Neodiprion lecontei: one gene and its partner. The protein of the gene in region 1 binds, or shares a complex with, the protein of each later gene. Links are inferred from orthologs where the notes say so. Each region holds a gene or a part of one and is shown on either strand. Other genes may lie near its edges.

The links.
Region 2: the proteins of protein catecholamines up (region 1) and protein-L-histidine N-pros-methyltransferase are in contact, whole or in part, in a crystal structure (PDB 8GZE), measured with the Homo sapiens proteins. The link is inferred for Neodiprion lecontei from reciprocal best matches to the Homo sapiens genes SLC39A7 and METTL9. Residues at the interface, in NP_001070984.1 of Homo sapiens: Gly65, His66, Thr67, His68, Glu69; in NP_057109.3 of Homo sapiens: Arg114, Thr115, Asn118, Arg123, Gly124, Met126, Met179, Asn210, Asp213, Arg214, Val241, His245, Tyr247, Glu249, Trp255, Tyr295, Leu296, Cys297, Glu298, Asp300, Tyr306, Val307, Leu308.

What each region holds. Positions count from the first base shown.
Region 1 is NC_060261.1:35,214,225-35,220,428, reverse strand, and holds protein catecholamines up, read left to right. Parts: upstream 1-2,787; 5' UTR 2,788-2,971; coding exon 2,972-3,955; intron 3,956-4,047; coding exon 4,048-4,123; intron 4,124-4,250; coding exon 4,251-4,426; 3' UTR 4,427-4,961; downstream 4,962-6,204. Other genes in the region: kinesin-like protein KIF14, read right to left, coding at 563-790, 900-1,437, 1,502-1,981, 2,066-2,169; tetratricopeptide repeat protein 19 homolog, mitochondrial, read right to left, coding at 5,777-5,976, 6,057-6,204. UniProt on the Homo sapiens protein: Transports Zn(2+) from the endoplasmic reticulum (ER)/Golgi apparatus to the cytosol, playing an essential role in the regulation of cytosolic zinc levels.
Region 2 is NC_060262.1:21,743,351-21,749,779, forward strand, and holds the start of protein-L-histidine N-pros-methyltransferase, read left to right. Parts: upstream 1-2,655; 5' UTR 2,656-2,832; coding exon 2,833-3,015; intron 3,016-6,429. UniProt on the Homo sapiens protein: Protein-histidine N-methyltransferase that specifically catalyzes 1-methylhistidine (pros-methylhistidine) methylation of target proteins.

The DNA of each region.
Region 1 (6,204 bases):
GTAATGATGGTTGAATAAACTTTTTTAATTAAGAGTACAACAAGAAAGATTATAAACGATAGGAGGAAAAATTGGTTCAAGTACAGTAATCAAACAGAGTATAATGAACAAGTTGTTCACAAATTGAAAAAAAAAATTGCAATGCCGTATGTAATCGTAACTAAAGCAAAAGCCTGTTCAGATAATAAATTAAGAAAAATATCTTCATCAAAATACATATTCATCAAAATGTGAATTGTTGGAAATATTACGTATATATTAGATAATTTTTTGAAGGTGCCCCAAGACATTCGTCAATCAAGTGATAAAACTTGGCATATCAAACGATTTCGCGACTCTTTAAAAACATATTAAATATCTATGGGGTCATTCATTGTTTATCACTTGTAGGATATTTAGGAGTGTGTGTGACACCTATTTTCATCTGAAGTTAATGTACTGCTACCTACCTCTTGAGCAAAAGCAATTTATTTGGGTTTCAGGGAGGATCAAGCATTGTTACTCATACCAACAGATTTTGCATTAGCAGTAAGAAATAAATGACTGCAAATTTCAGGCTTACGCGCAATCTATCTCCACTGGCACACGTCTGACTTAGGCGCTCGCTCCCAGCCAGATCTACAAGATTAATTTTACTCCGACGACTCGGCTCCGCCGGCTGATTGCCAGAGGGAACATCTACTTGTGTCTGAGTTAGAATCACACTGAAGATACTGTGGGACCTCGAACTCTTTTCATTCATTCCTGTCGCAGCTGTAGCTCTTTGAGAATTACCGACCTTCAGCCAGCCCTGAAAAAATTATGGACAAAAGTTGTGAAAGAGAAGTAAGTAGAGTGGCAAGTTTGAAATAGATTGTTGTCATTTACATTTTTTTTAAATTCTCTTTCAAACAACTAACCTGCAGATCTTCGTAACTATTGACACCGTGCTGACTCAGATCTACGACATAGGGCCCAAACACTGGATGTTCCCTGACTTTCAATGGCGCGCGTTTCCCCCCACTGGTATTGACGCCAAGGAGGTCGTGAATCTTCTCGTTGTATATTTCAAAATAGCTAATTTCTACCGTTGTTACAACTTTGGAGTTCCTCATTGATCGGCAAAATATTTCATGACAAAATCTCGGTATTATACCAGCTTCAGAGCCCAGCTCTGACCCGCACGTCTCTGTACCCATCATACTGTAACTTTTCCCAGATCCAGTTTGCCCATAGGCAAACAGACATGCATTGTAACCCTCAAATGCATTCTCTACCAGTGGTAGAACCATGTTCTTGAACACCACCTCTTGGGTGGCATGCTGTGGCGTGCAGGAATCGGCGTAAGATACAAAACAATGATCATACATAAATGTATGCCTGGAAGATTCGCACTCCACAGTTATGTTTTGACCATTAGCTTCGACGATTGCTGTTATTCGCTGGTCGTTCAGTTCCCTGTAAAGCCAAGTAATTCAGTTCTACATTAGTCACTTGACGAAAGATTGTTAGAAATACTTACTTGAAATTCAAAGGCCTAACCCTGACTCCAACAGTTAGATTACTCTGTTCTCCTTCGCACATTGTCTGCTCATCAGCACCCAGGTCCTGCCGGGTTCTTGGGGTTTCCATTTGAACGAGGTTAAAGCAATCTGGAGTCGCGGCTGGAGGATTATGATTACTGAAGTAACGTTTTACAGGTGTTTTACTTGTTATGGAGAATATGTTTGTTTTGGATCCTCGTTCATTAGCGGTAACTCTTTTGGGTGTGCAAAAATGTGTGACAGGAGTTCTGTCTGCAGATAATCTCGGATTTGATGTGATTCTCATTGGAGTTTTAAGCCTCTCTTCAGAAGACGATTTGGCAGACAGTGATGGCTCCTCTTTTTGCAGCATTGTTACAGATTTCGAACGAATAAGATTTGATTTGAATCGTGAATTGCTTGATGTTCTAATGTGAGAGACACAATCATCTGTTGTCTCAGGGCTTTCGAAGAACTTTCTGTGAACAATAATGTCAGGTCACTTAGACAATCCTTGTGACTGAGAACGATAAATATTGATTGATCTATTACTGAAAACTTACTTTTTAACTGGAGGTGCATTTTCTTTATTAAAATTAATAGGCTCACTCGAGAAAATAGCATTCAAAGATCGTGTGCTCGAAGTATTTCCACCTCTATGCGACATGATGAAAATAATTTTGTACAAAAGTATTTAGACCGCATGCAGGGAAGGTTTCTCACTTTCAGCAACGTTTACCGTCTCCAATGACGTTTAATGTTGTACTTGTATGCTGACAAATAGAATATTCAACACATGCAACTACAATATAAATAAAAACCGTTGACAAAACTCGGTTGTGCAGGGTGTCGGGATAACAATAGAACGGTTTTCACACAAAACTCGATCGATCAAAGGTGAAGTTCACTACCATTCAATATACGTACGATTTTTACAGCCTAAATACCTTTTCCTAACGTAAATACGGTATTTTTTTAACGTTATTTATTGTTTTTAACGCCCCAAATACATTACAAACAGACGCTTTCGCTTTCAGGCCGACAAGTTTAATCTTATTGGCTCACTAAAGTCGGGGGTTACTTCCCAAAAGCAATGCGACTCACTTGTAATTTCTTCACATACGTGAAAGCTCGTAGAGATCTCCGCCTCACTTTGCAGGCGCTTAAGCCGGATTGACGTCACCGCTTTCGACGAATGACAACTCCGGCAAACTCCGGCAGCTGTGTAAATGCTGGCCAATAGAAGTGCACAAGCCACGTTTATATTGCATGCTAACTGGCCATGCGCTGGAATCTAGCCTACAATACTGATAAACACATATCGTTATTTTTCACAGTATCAAATTAGCATTGACTAAAGTTTCAAGTTAAAATATAGTGTATACACATACATTCATTTACGTTAAAAATAGATTCATACTCCATGACCGATTAACAAAAATTGTTCATAACCTGACAGCCTTGCGAAGATGACGGGTCGAGTGATACCGGAACAAAGGTTCCTGAGTCGTGCCTTTACTTCGCGAGTTGCTCTAGCACTTTTAATACTGATAATTTTCTTCGGATTCCCGGCTCTCTGCGGGGGCCACGGACATTCACACGATGAACCTCCAAGCTTCAAATACAGCCAAACGGCAAACCAAAAGTTTCACGAATCCGCTGATCTCAATCATCACCACGAGCCTCATCATCATCATCATCACCACCAGCACCACCATGAAAAATATCACGCCCACGCTTCCGCAGACTCTCGAACCTCTGACCCTCCTAAGGGTCGAGACTTGGCGTCTCTCTGGATAAATGCTGTCGGTTCAACCCTCTTGATCTCTGCTGCACCGTTCTTAATTCTGTTTCTGGTTCCATTGGACAACAGTAAAGAGAAAGAACCTTGGCTGAAAATGGTCCTGAGCTTTGCCTCTGGGAGTTTACTGGGTGATGCATTTTTACATCTGATTCCACATGCTCTTGAACCCCACTCTCATGCACATGACGATTCTCACGCTCATAGCCATGTACCACCAGGAGAACACGGACATGAACATGGGCATGATATGACTGTTGGCTTATCAGTTTTACTGGGAATAATAACGTTCCTTATGATAGAAAAAGGAGTGCGTTTAGTCAAGGGAAATCATTCACATTCCCATAGTCATACCGTTCCTGTCAAGGAAAAGAAGCAGACTAAGGCTTCCGACAAAGACAAGTCTGATGGCAATGACAACCAATCGTTGGTAAAGAAAACTGAACTCATCGAGGACATCAAGATTGCTGGGTATCTGAATTTGGCTGCTGATTTTACACACAATTTTACAGACGGACTCGCTATCGGTGCGAGCTACTTAGCTGGTAACAAAATCGGAATCACCACTACAGTAACTATTCTGTTTCATGAGGTGCCTCATGAGATTGGAGACTTTGCCATTCTCATTCAAAGTGGAGTTAGCAGAAAAAAGGTGATCTTTGTATTTATCATTCACATTGGTTCTGAATACAAGCCCGAAATTTTGTTAAGTATCTTCCAATCATTTCAATGTTCATTTTTCAGGCAATTTGGCTCCAGCTAAGCACTGCGCTGGGAGCTGTTACAGGAACATGCGTGTCCTTATTAGCTGAAGGAATGGGTAAGAATGAAAAATTTTATACATTTATCATAGCTCTGATTCTTGTTTGTAACTCATTAAGATTGATAGATTAGCTGTTATTTTTATAAGTGTCTGCCACTGATGTTTTGATATTCTGCGATTACAGGTGATTTCGCCACTTCATGGATATTACCGTTCACCGCTGGTGGCTTCATATACATTGCGACTGTGTCTGTAATTCCTGAACTTTTATCTGACACCAAATTTTGGCAGTCGATTAAGGAGATTATTGCCTTGTTATTCGGTGTTTTTATAATGGTGCAAATAGCAAAGTATGAATGAATAGTGATTGATACAGTGACCGTGTGCAGTACATGTATCTGTGAAAAATTTTCTTGCAAATTGTAGAAAATATTTTTTTCACGATATCATTTTGAGCTGCTAATAATTGTAAACGGAGTAATGTAATTAGTGACCATGATTGTTCGACTAGCAGCATGTACTTTTAGATAATTTAGCTACATAAGATTTTTTGTAGTTTCATTACTAGAAAGATTATTTTTCTTTGTTGATATTTTTCATACTTTACACATTTTTTTATATATGGCTATACATCGGGAACAATTCTTGAAGATTATGTGAGTAAAATTGTTGAGATTTGTTCGGTATCAAGAGATGTGAGTAGTTGCAAAGCTCGCGGATTTCAACCGTGTATAATTTATTTTTATATAACTATAAGTAGATTCAGACGTAATTTAGCTATGATGTGAAAACAAATTCCTGTGCAATCCAGTTGCTGTAATAATTATTATAGTCATTATTAACTTGAGGATATTCACGCATACATCACACGACATTAAAGTTGAACTACAATATATACTAATGTTGAATAATTATATGAAACCTATCATTGTTTCAGTATTCGCACGTTAAATTGGAAATATGCTTTTGCAGTAAAGTACCTTTCAAACACTTATTTCAGACTAATCACTTAGAAATAGGAATACTCAGTCATATTGTACACAAACTAAGTAAAACGTGCTTGAGATTTTATGATTTACTTGTAATGTGGCATTTTTAGTGCATATAATTGCGCATTTGATATTATCTGTTATTGAGTGTCATTGAGGTCAAAACAAAACACCTGACCAAAAATATATCAGGTGCCAAATGTTAATAATTATTCAATTAACTTACGAGGATGAATTTAGTAATGTTAACATAACGAAAAATTTAAAAAAATCACTATTTTGTAGTTTCTAAATGACTTTTCAATACGTAGTTATATTTTCAAAATATCAGAGTGTCTAGTTGCTTGATTATGGTTTACCGAATTTCAAACAATCCTGAAGTAGTGACAAAACGGTTTGTTTATCCTAAAAACACATTATTGCATTGACATTATAAACTTTAAACTCGTATCGACTTTGTAGCTTCTACAGTACTCAACCGTTGTAGAAGCTTAATTACTTAAGCACCGAAAGTTATTAAAATAAAAGAGTTGAAACAAAATTGATAGTGCTGTTCCAAAGAATACTCATTACTAGAACCTATGTTGAAAAACTTGACACATATTTTTGAATAATCTCGGACTGTACAATTATGTTCAATATGAGGCCACAAAAAAATAATACAAAGAGTCAACTCACCAAGATAACAAATATTAATAAAACTCTTGCTACATATGTGAATCTAAGAAGAAAGTAGTTTGTTAATCTCATCCAGGCAATCGTTTGCTTCTACCAAAGACTCTTTATTTTTCCGAGATTTTGATAATCTCCAGCCTTCCTGACATGATTTTTTAGCTGCATCGTAAAGACCTTTTTTTATGAAAACATTTCCCAGATTGACATGAATTGAACCAAGCTCTTCCATCTCTGGTAATTCCTTTCCTGTTTGGTAAAATTGGTAAATTAGTACGAGTGCAAATGCTCAGCATAAAACATAACGTTAATTAAAATCTGTAAGTCACCAATTTCTGTAGCTTTAGTTAAGTAATCGATCGCTCCATCGTTATCTCCTTTCATGAAACTTATTGTGCCGAGATCATTCAATAGGACAGCGGTCTGCTCGTGCTTCTCTCCATTAATTTTCAGTGAAACTTCATAAGCTTTGAGAAA
Region 2 (6,429 bases), on another chromosome or scaffold:
GCTTCTAGAGCTTCATCGAAAACCCGTGGTAACCGCAAAAAATCTTACACGGTTGACAAAATAAACACTACGCTCACGTAAATTCTAACAATTTTATTCTTCGCGATGATAGGAGAAAAGAAACAAAATCTCTGACAAGAAGTAACGAGTAGGTAAGATGCCGAGAAAATTCCTGTAGTAAATCGCATGATTCGCTTCTCCGATGAATATAACTAAGACGTGATTTTTTAAAATCTTTTTTGTTTCATCCTCCGAACGCATAATTGGTGCGTGAGAATTTCCCAGTATAATTTCTCACGCGCCTATACCTACCTACGTAATACCAACTGACCGACCGCCGAAAAAGCCTATACCTATGGAGAAATTACGATCGAATTTCTGAGTAATTACGCAGCATTCTTGAGTAATTATGAGAAGTTGTTTTTTAGTCCACGTCTGAAGCCAAGGGGAAGTACTTCGTACACTTCACCTCGGAAGCGTTCCTTCACCTCCTCGTCCCTCCTCACCCTCTCTCCTTTCGCTCTCTCTCCCTCGTCTCTTTCGGAGCGCAATGGAGGGGGCGAATCAAGGTCGTCCGTAAATTAACCCGCACGCGGTAGAATCCAGAATATAATACTCACTTATTTCTCGGAGTCGCCGCAGGTTCTACATAACCCACACGCGTCGTGCGCACGTACCTGGCGGCCTTTACGCCACCCGGTACATTTAACTGCCTCTCGAATGACGTTCGGGCGTATGTCTACGCTCGTTGCATGCTCTTATTTTCGAACGACGCCCAAGACGCCGACTGAAACAGTAGACGCCATCCCCTCGCCCATTGTTGGCCAATTTCACGCGGGCCAAGCCGTTAATTACCAAAGCGCAGCTTGTCCCCGTCCCCAAGGCGAGAGGACCCCTCTAGCCAAAACAACATCGCCGAGGCCTAACGCCCTTGTTTCGAACGAACCTCTCTTAGTTTCGCGCCACTTTTCGAATCTCCACTGAGAAAACAATTTATTTTGTTTCACCAAACGTATATTTGGATATGGCGAAATAAACGTTTAGTTATTATCATCAAATTTTAGTCGAGCCAAGTATGATTTTTAAACCATTAACAAGTTTCTATCGATCATTATTTGGCTCGACTGAAATTTGATAATAATAACGAAACATTTGTTTCCTCGTATCCAAGCATACGTTTTTCAACAGTGAATAATAAACTTTTTTCTCAGTGTCCTTGATTGACGAAACGGCTCATTTTGTCCGTTAATTCACTGACAAGAGAAATATCGAGTGAAAACAAACTGTATTCTACATAGAAAGTTTTGTGAGATCCAACGTGGTTTGATTATCCTCAATCCTAGCTATTATCGGTAATGCGAGGAGGAAAATTGGGGGTTAAAAAGTACAGACGATGAATTGAAAAAAATTTAATGGCCTCGCATCGCACGCGAGTCGGGAAAAAAGAACGAGTAAAAATGGAAAAATTTTTCCGGCTACCGTGAACTGCAATAAGGAAAGCATAAAACTTTCTCCCTCGTCCGCGGCACGCTCCCTCGGGATTTCGGTTAAAGGGGAGGCGACGCGTTGCACGGGAGCAGACGTCGTACCTTGGCTGATGACCTCGTTGAAAAATATTAATGGACCGCTTGAAAACACCTCAAGAAAAATTATGATGGAATTCAATATATGTACTGCGTAGTTAGAGGTATGCCTACTTTGAGAAACGCAAGACTGTTCCTCGACTTTTTAATAGTGATGCAAAATTATTTGATGATCTTAAGGTATCGATTATTGTGGCGTTAGATTAATCGATTATTATTCGAGTTTTCAGAAATTCGATTATTATCGAATCGATTCTTTTTCTATACGAATCGATTAGTTATGACGATGGGAGTCATTTAAGAACAATTTCCTGTAAAAATGTAATGTTATTTTCTCGTAATTCATGAAACAAAGTCATTTGCTATCATCATTTTCTGATTACGTGGAAAAAGTAGTAGAATACTTCAAAATAACGTTTATTTGTTGCCAACAATGGTACACTGAATAATAGTATTAACGCTGTCAATAAATAGCTCGTTTGTTTCAGTTAAATGTTTTGTCGATTATGAGGAACCGATGCTATTTCCATCCAATATATCGATTCGCAAAATCGGAGATATAAATATAATTGATCGATTTTCAGATCGGTTCTTTAATTTTCTCGCACCACTGCCTCTTGAGTCAGTGTTCAATTACAATTATTACATACAATTTCGATACAAGAAAAACTTGCGGCGAAAATATTCTTGTTTTACCCATTTTAACACCACTAATCTTAGCGTATCTCATAACATTTCCCAGCTCGTATCTGTAAGTACGACCAAGTATCTAATTGGGCCCTTAAGGTTTACCTTACAATTAATGTCGCAATGAAATTTCGGGACAAGTATAAAAAACGCGACTTTCTCCTTGTAAACGGCTTCTCAAAACCTCAAACAACGACACGATAGCTCGATCCGTCTTCACAAAGGTGCAAAAACGGGAATACAAAGCGAGTAACATCGTGTCGGTGCCGCGCGTGATTCAAACTCGGGAATCCTACAGCGGTCGGTAATGCACCGGACCCCTGGATTACCGACGGAGCATAAATCGCCGCGGCGCTGTGGGTGCAGGCTACAGCGTGAGATGGCGGTTAATCTGTCAACATGGCCACGTGCCGACGAGGAGAACGGTCTTCCGTAGAGTGATAGAACGCGGATCCGGCCCGTGTCCTTCGGTATTTAGATAAATCCGGATAAGCCAAGTCGCGGCCAGGATGGCCAGGTGCAGAGGGCGCGTGGACAGTGTCAGTACGGAGCCACCCCGCGAATGGGACACATTTACGCGATTCTACTAGCCTTGGCAGCCGCCCAAGGACCCACAGCCGCGTTGTCATCGGACCGAGGAAGCGGCGCAGTCATGAAGAGTTACCGACCCCGGGGCGGAATCGCGCGGATGATATACGACAAGCAGAAGGCGGACGAGCGACTTCGCGTCTACGACAAAACCCAGGTGAGGAGTCAAAACCGAGCGAACCGAGTAACCTCGGAATTTTAAGATGCCCCGTTCTTACGGAGGAACGATCGCAAAGCTTCGGAAATTCCCGTCCGTCTGCGCGTGCGCGCGCAGCCCCGCGCTTTCCTCGTAGAACCGAGTGGTTCGACTAGGTGTGAGATAGGGTCGATCGAATGTGTGCGTGAGCGTGCGTGTGTGTTCGTTCACAGCGTCCTGCGTCAACTGTCACAGGGCCGCAGGCGCGCTCCTGTAATCCAAATGTTTGAATTTCGAACACAATGAGTTGAATTATTCGCGCTCGATTTGTCGGGTGTTTCTCGGGGAAAGGATAATTTCGGCGGCTCGATTTCCGAATTCGACCGCGTGCGAACGAGACGTCGAATTCGCTGTGGCCGTGGGGAACGAGAGATGTTTGAGAGAAAAAAACGATAAAATAGAAGGAGAACAAAAAAGGAGTAAGAATAATAACAATGTCCGAAAGAGTCGAGGGCGCGCGTGCAGCGGTTGTTGGAGGAAAAGATTCGATTTTAAAAGAGGCGAGGATTTGCGAACGGCGAGGAGCCGGCGGGAAGGTGGAAGTTGGAAGGTGGAAGGTGGAATGGGGGGGCGGGGGGGGGAGGGAAGGAGGCACGCCGGTAATAATTAGTACAATTATCGTACAAGGCCAACCACCGGTTCCCCGACGCGGCGCGTCCTACGCCCTGCGTGAGGTTACGGATGTATGTATCCGCGGAGAAAGAGCAGGAGAGAAATAGCGAGAATGAGAATGAGAATAAGAATAAGAGGCGGCCGGGCTTACCTGCCTGTCTTGTGTGCCCTCCAGAGGCTCCGGAGCGGTAATTATGCGTAATTACGTCGTCGATATTCCTGAAACATCTCTCGCCGCTGCTTGCGCTGCGGGCCTCTCGGACTCCCAGCCTATTTATAATTACCCGCTGCAAGGCTTGGAGTAAAGACTTTCCAATTTGCACCGAGCCAAAGCTCTTGCACGTGTGGTGCGCTCCTCTATACGTAGAACGCGCGTTACCGACGCACCGAGGAAAGCCATTCTTCGATGAGGGAAATAAAGAGGGAAAAATCGAAATAGGAGAAAATTAGCGGGAGTCGGGGAATCGCGCGGCGGCCTCGATTGCAAACTGCAAAGTCTAACTAACCGTGACGGCTCCTTTGCTCGCGCGCCGTGTGTGCCTTGCCTTTCCTTGCCTTTCCTCGCCTTGCCTTATACAACCTTCCCGTATATAACGAAGCAGTTCACGCGAAAATACATCCCCCGCTGCACCGCCGGGCTACGGGTCGGTAGCAGCACATCACATCGCATCACATCAGATCGAGAAGAGAGCTTGCGCCTGCAAAGAATATCAAGTTTCTGATCGAGCCCCGGGCGAGGGATTCAGCGTCTCTGTGTCTCTGATGTAGACACTTGAGCTGTACCCGTTACCCGGGCTCGAATTGGGTCTCTGGGTGTATTTATCATTTCATTGGAACTCACGATCAGCGACATCCGGTCGCAGGAAATTTAAATGTCAGGATACCCGAATTCAATTTTATAAAAATACGTTTTTTTTTATCATGTTCTTCAACCGATGTGCGTAGCTTGCGCGGACTTTTCTGCTCCTATCGATACTCGCAAAATCCGGTTAAAAACACTGGACTATTTCGCAGATTTCTTACACTACAACGGCATTTGCATGGGGATATGCATCCATCTGCTTAAACGGTTCTTCATCGACGGAGTAAAAGAAAGAACAATTTTTAACTGGCTCTAATCGCGATATAAATTGACGATGCGGGGAATATTCTTCATCCCAAACTCCGATCGTGATAATTAGATATCTATATATATATATATATATGTATATATTCGATGTTTTATATTTACTTGGGATCCGGAGCTAACGACGATATAACACGCACTTTGCACCGTTTCGGGATTAGGCTAAACCCTTACTCGAGACCGTTACGGGTTAGACGTTCGATAAGCGGTAATTAATGATCATGCAGTAAAGCTGTCTGCTTGCTCGTTTCTCGATATATCCCGGTACAGAACGCTCCGACTTCTACGGGCCCCGATATTCACTCGTGTGTGTAAGTTTGTATTCTACGTACGTAAAAGCCCGTTGACACAATCTTGTATCACATTACGTGCTATCGGATACGAAGCATAATCGTAGTAGTATAATTTATTTTTGCCAATCGTATCAAAGAATTATCCGTCAATGTTTGCGGCTGGAAATGAAATCTTGCAGCTTTGCAAACTTTTTGACGCGTGCGTGTGGTGACAAGTTTATTTAAAAAAAAAAAAATTAAAAAAACACAACCACAGGGCCAATGATTTTTAAAATAGCAAAAAATATCCTTGAATTCTTGAGAAAAATACTGTTTATATCCGGTTTTGATTATGTAATTCAGTTTGAAGTTGCAACGATTCAAATATCCCCACCTCAAACCAAAACAAGTACTGTGAGTTGACATTGAACCTATTTGTACATCACGTGGTGTCCACCTTCTTGGATTTACACCTCTCACTGCGAAACTATCGTCAGAGCACCACGTGCAAAATTGCTTTTCCTAATACGTGTCTTTTATTTTCGTTTTCTTCCTATAGAATTTAACTTCGATAACGTGTAAAATAATTGACTAATCCGAAGATTCCGTTTTACATAATCAAATCAGAGATGTATAAAACATCAACTATGTGTGGTATCTTCAACAATATAATTACATGAATCTACGGTTCAACGAACCTGTCGCGATCACGGATACCATCGATTGATCTGCTTAGCTGGTAGTAAAAGATAAGTGAATAATTGTTAACAAAACAATTCAAGAAATTATAACGACAAAACTTCGATGAAAGAAATATAAATTGATACAAGAGACTATTTTAAAATGAATGAAGAAAAAGAGAATATTCAAAAAGGAATAAAGAATAGTTCGAGAAACAATTTTAATGAAAGAAAAACGATATGTATTTCCAATTTTAATCTGTTTCACCTGCTGATCGATAATTTACGTACTTTGTGAGCGAATGATTGAATGGATACACGAATGAATATATAGTACGTTTTTCGGTTATTGCTATAAATTTATATAACAGAAGTAAAAGGAATATTTACAATTTTCGTAATCTATTACATAAAATTTGTTCATAATTTATATTCAACATCTAAACCTATATTTACAAAATTCTTTGCCTACGATCATACACGTAATTTTCCAAGTCAATTTGATCGAGGAACGCATATTGCTGGGTAACCGAACCGTCTTTTTGGAATAAAAAAAAAAATTCCTAAACCTTGTCACGAATCAATTTTCGCCGCACACCGTAACCCGGATAAAAATCAGCATCGGCGAATCGAGGATGACGATTTTTCAGGAAATTCGGTTGGCTCGAGATGTGCTATATACTCG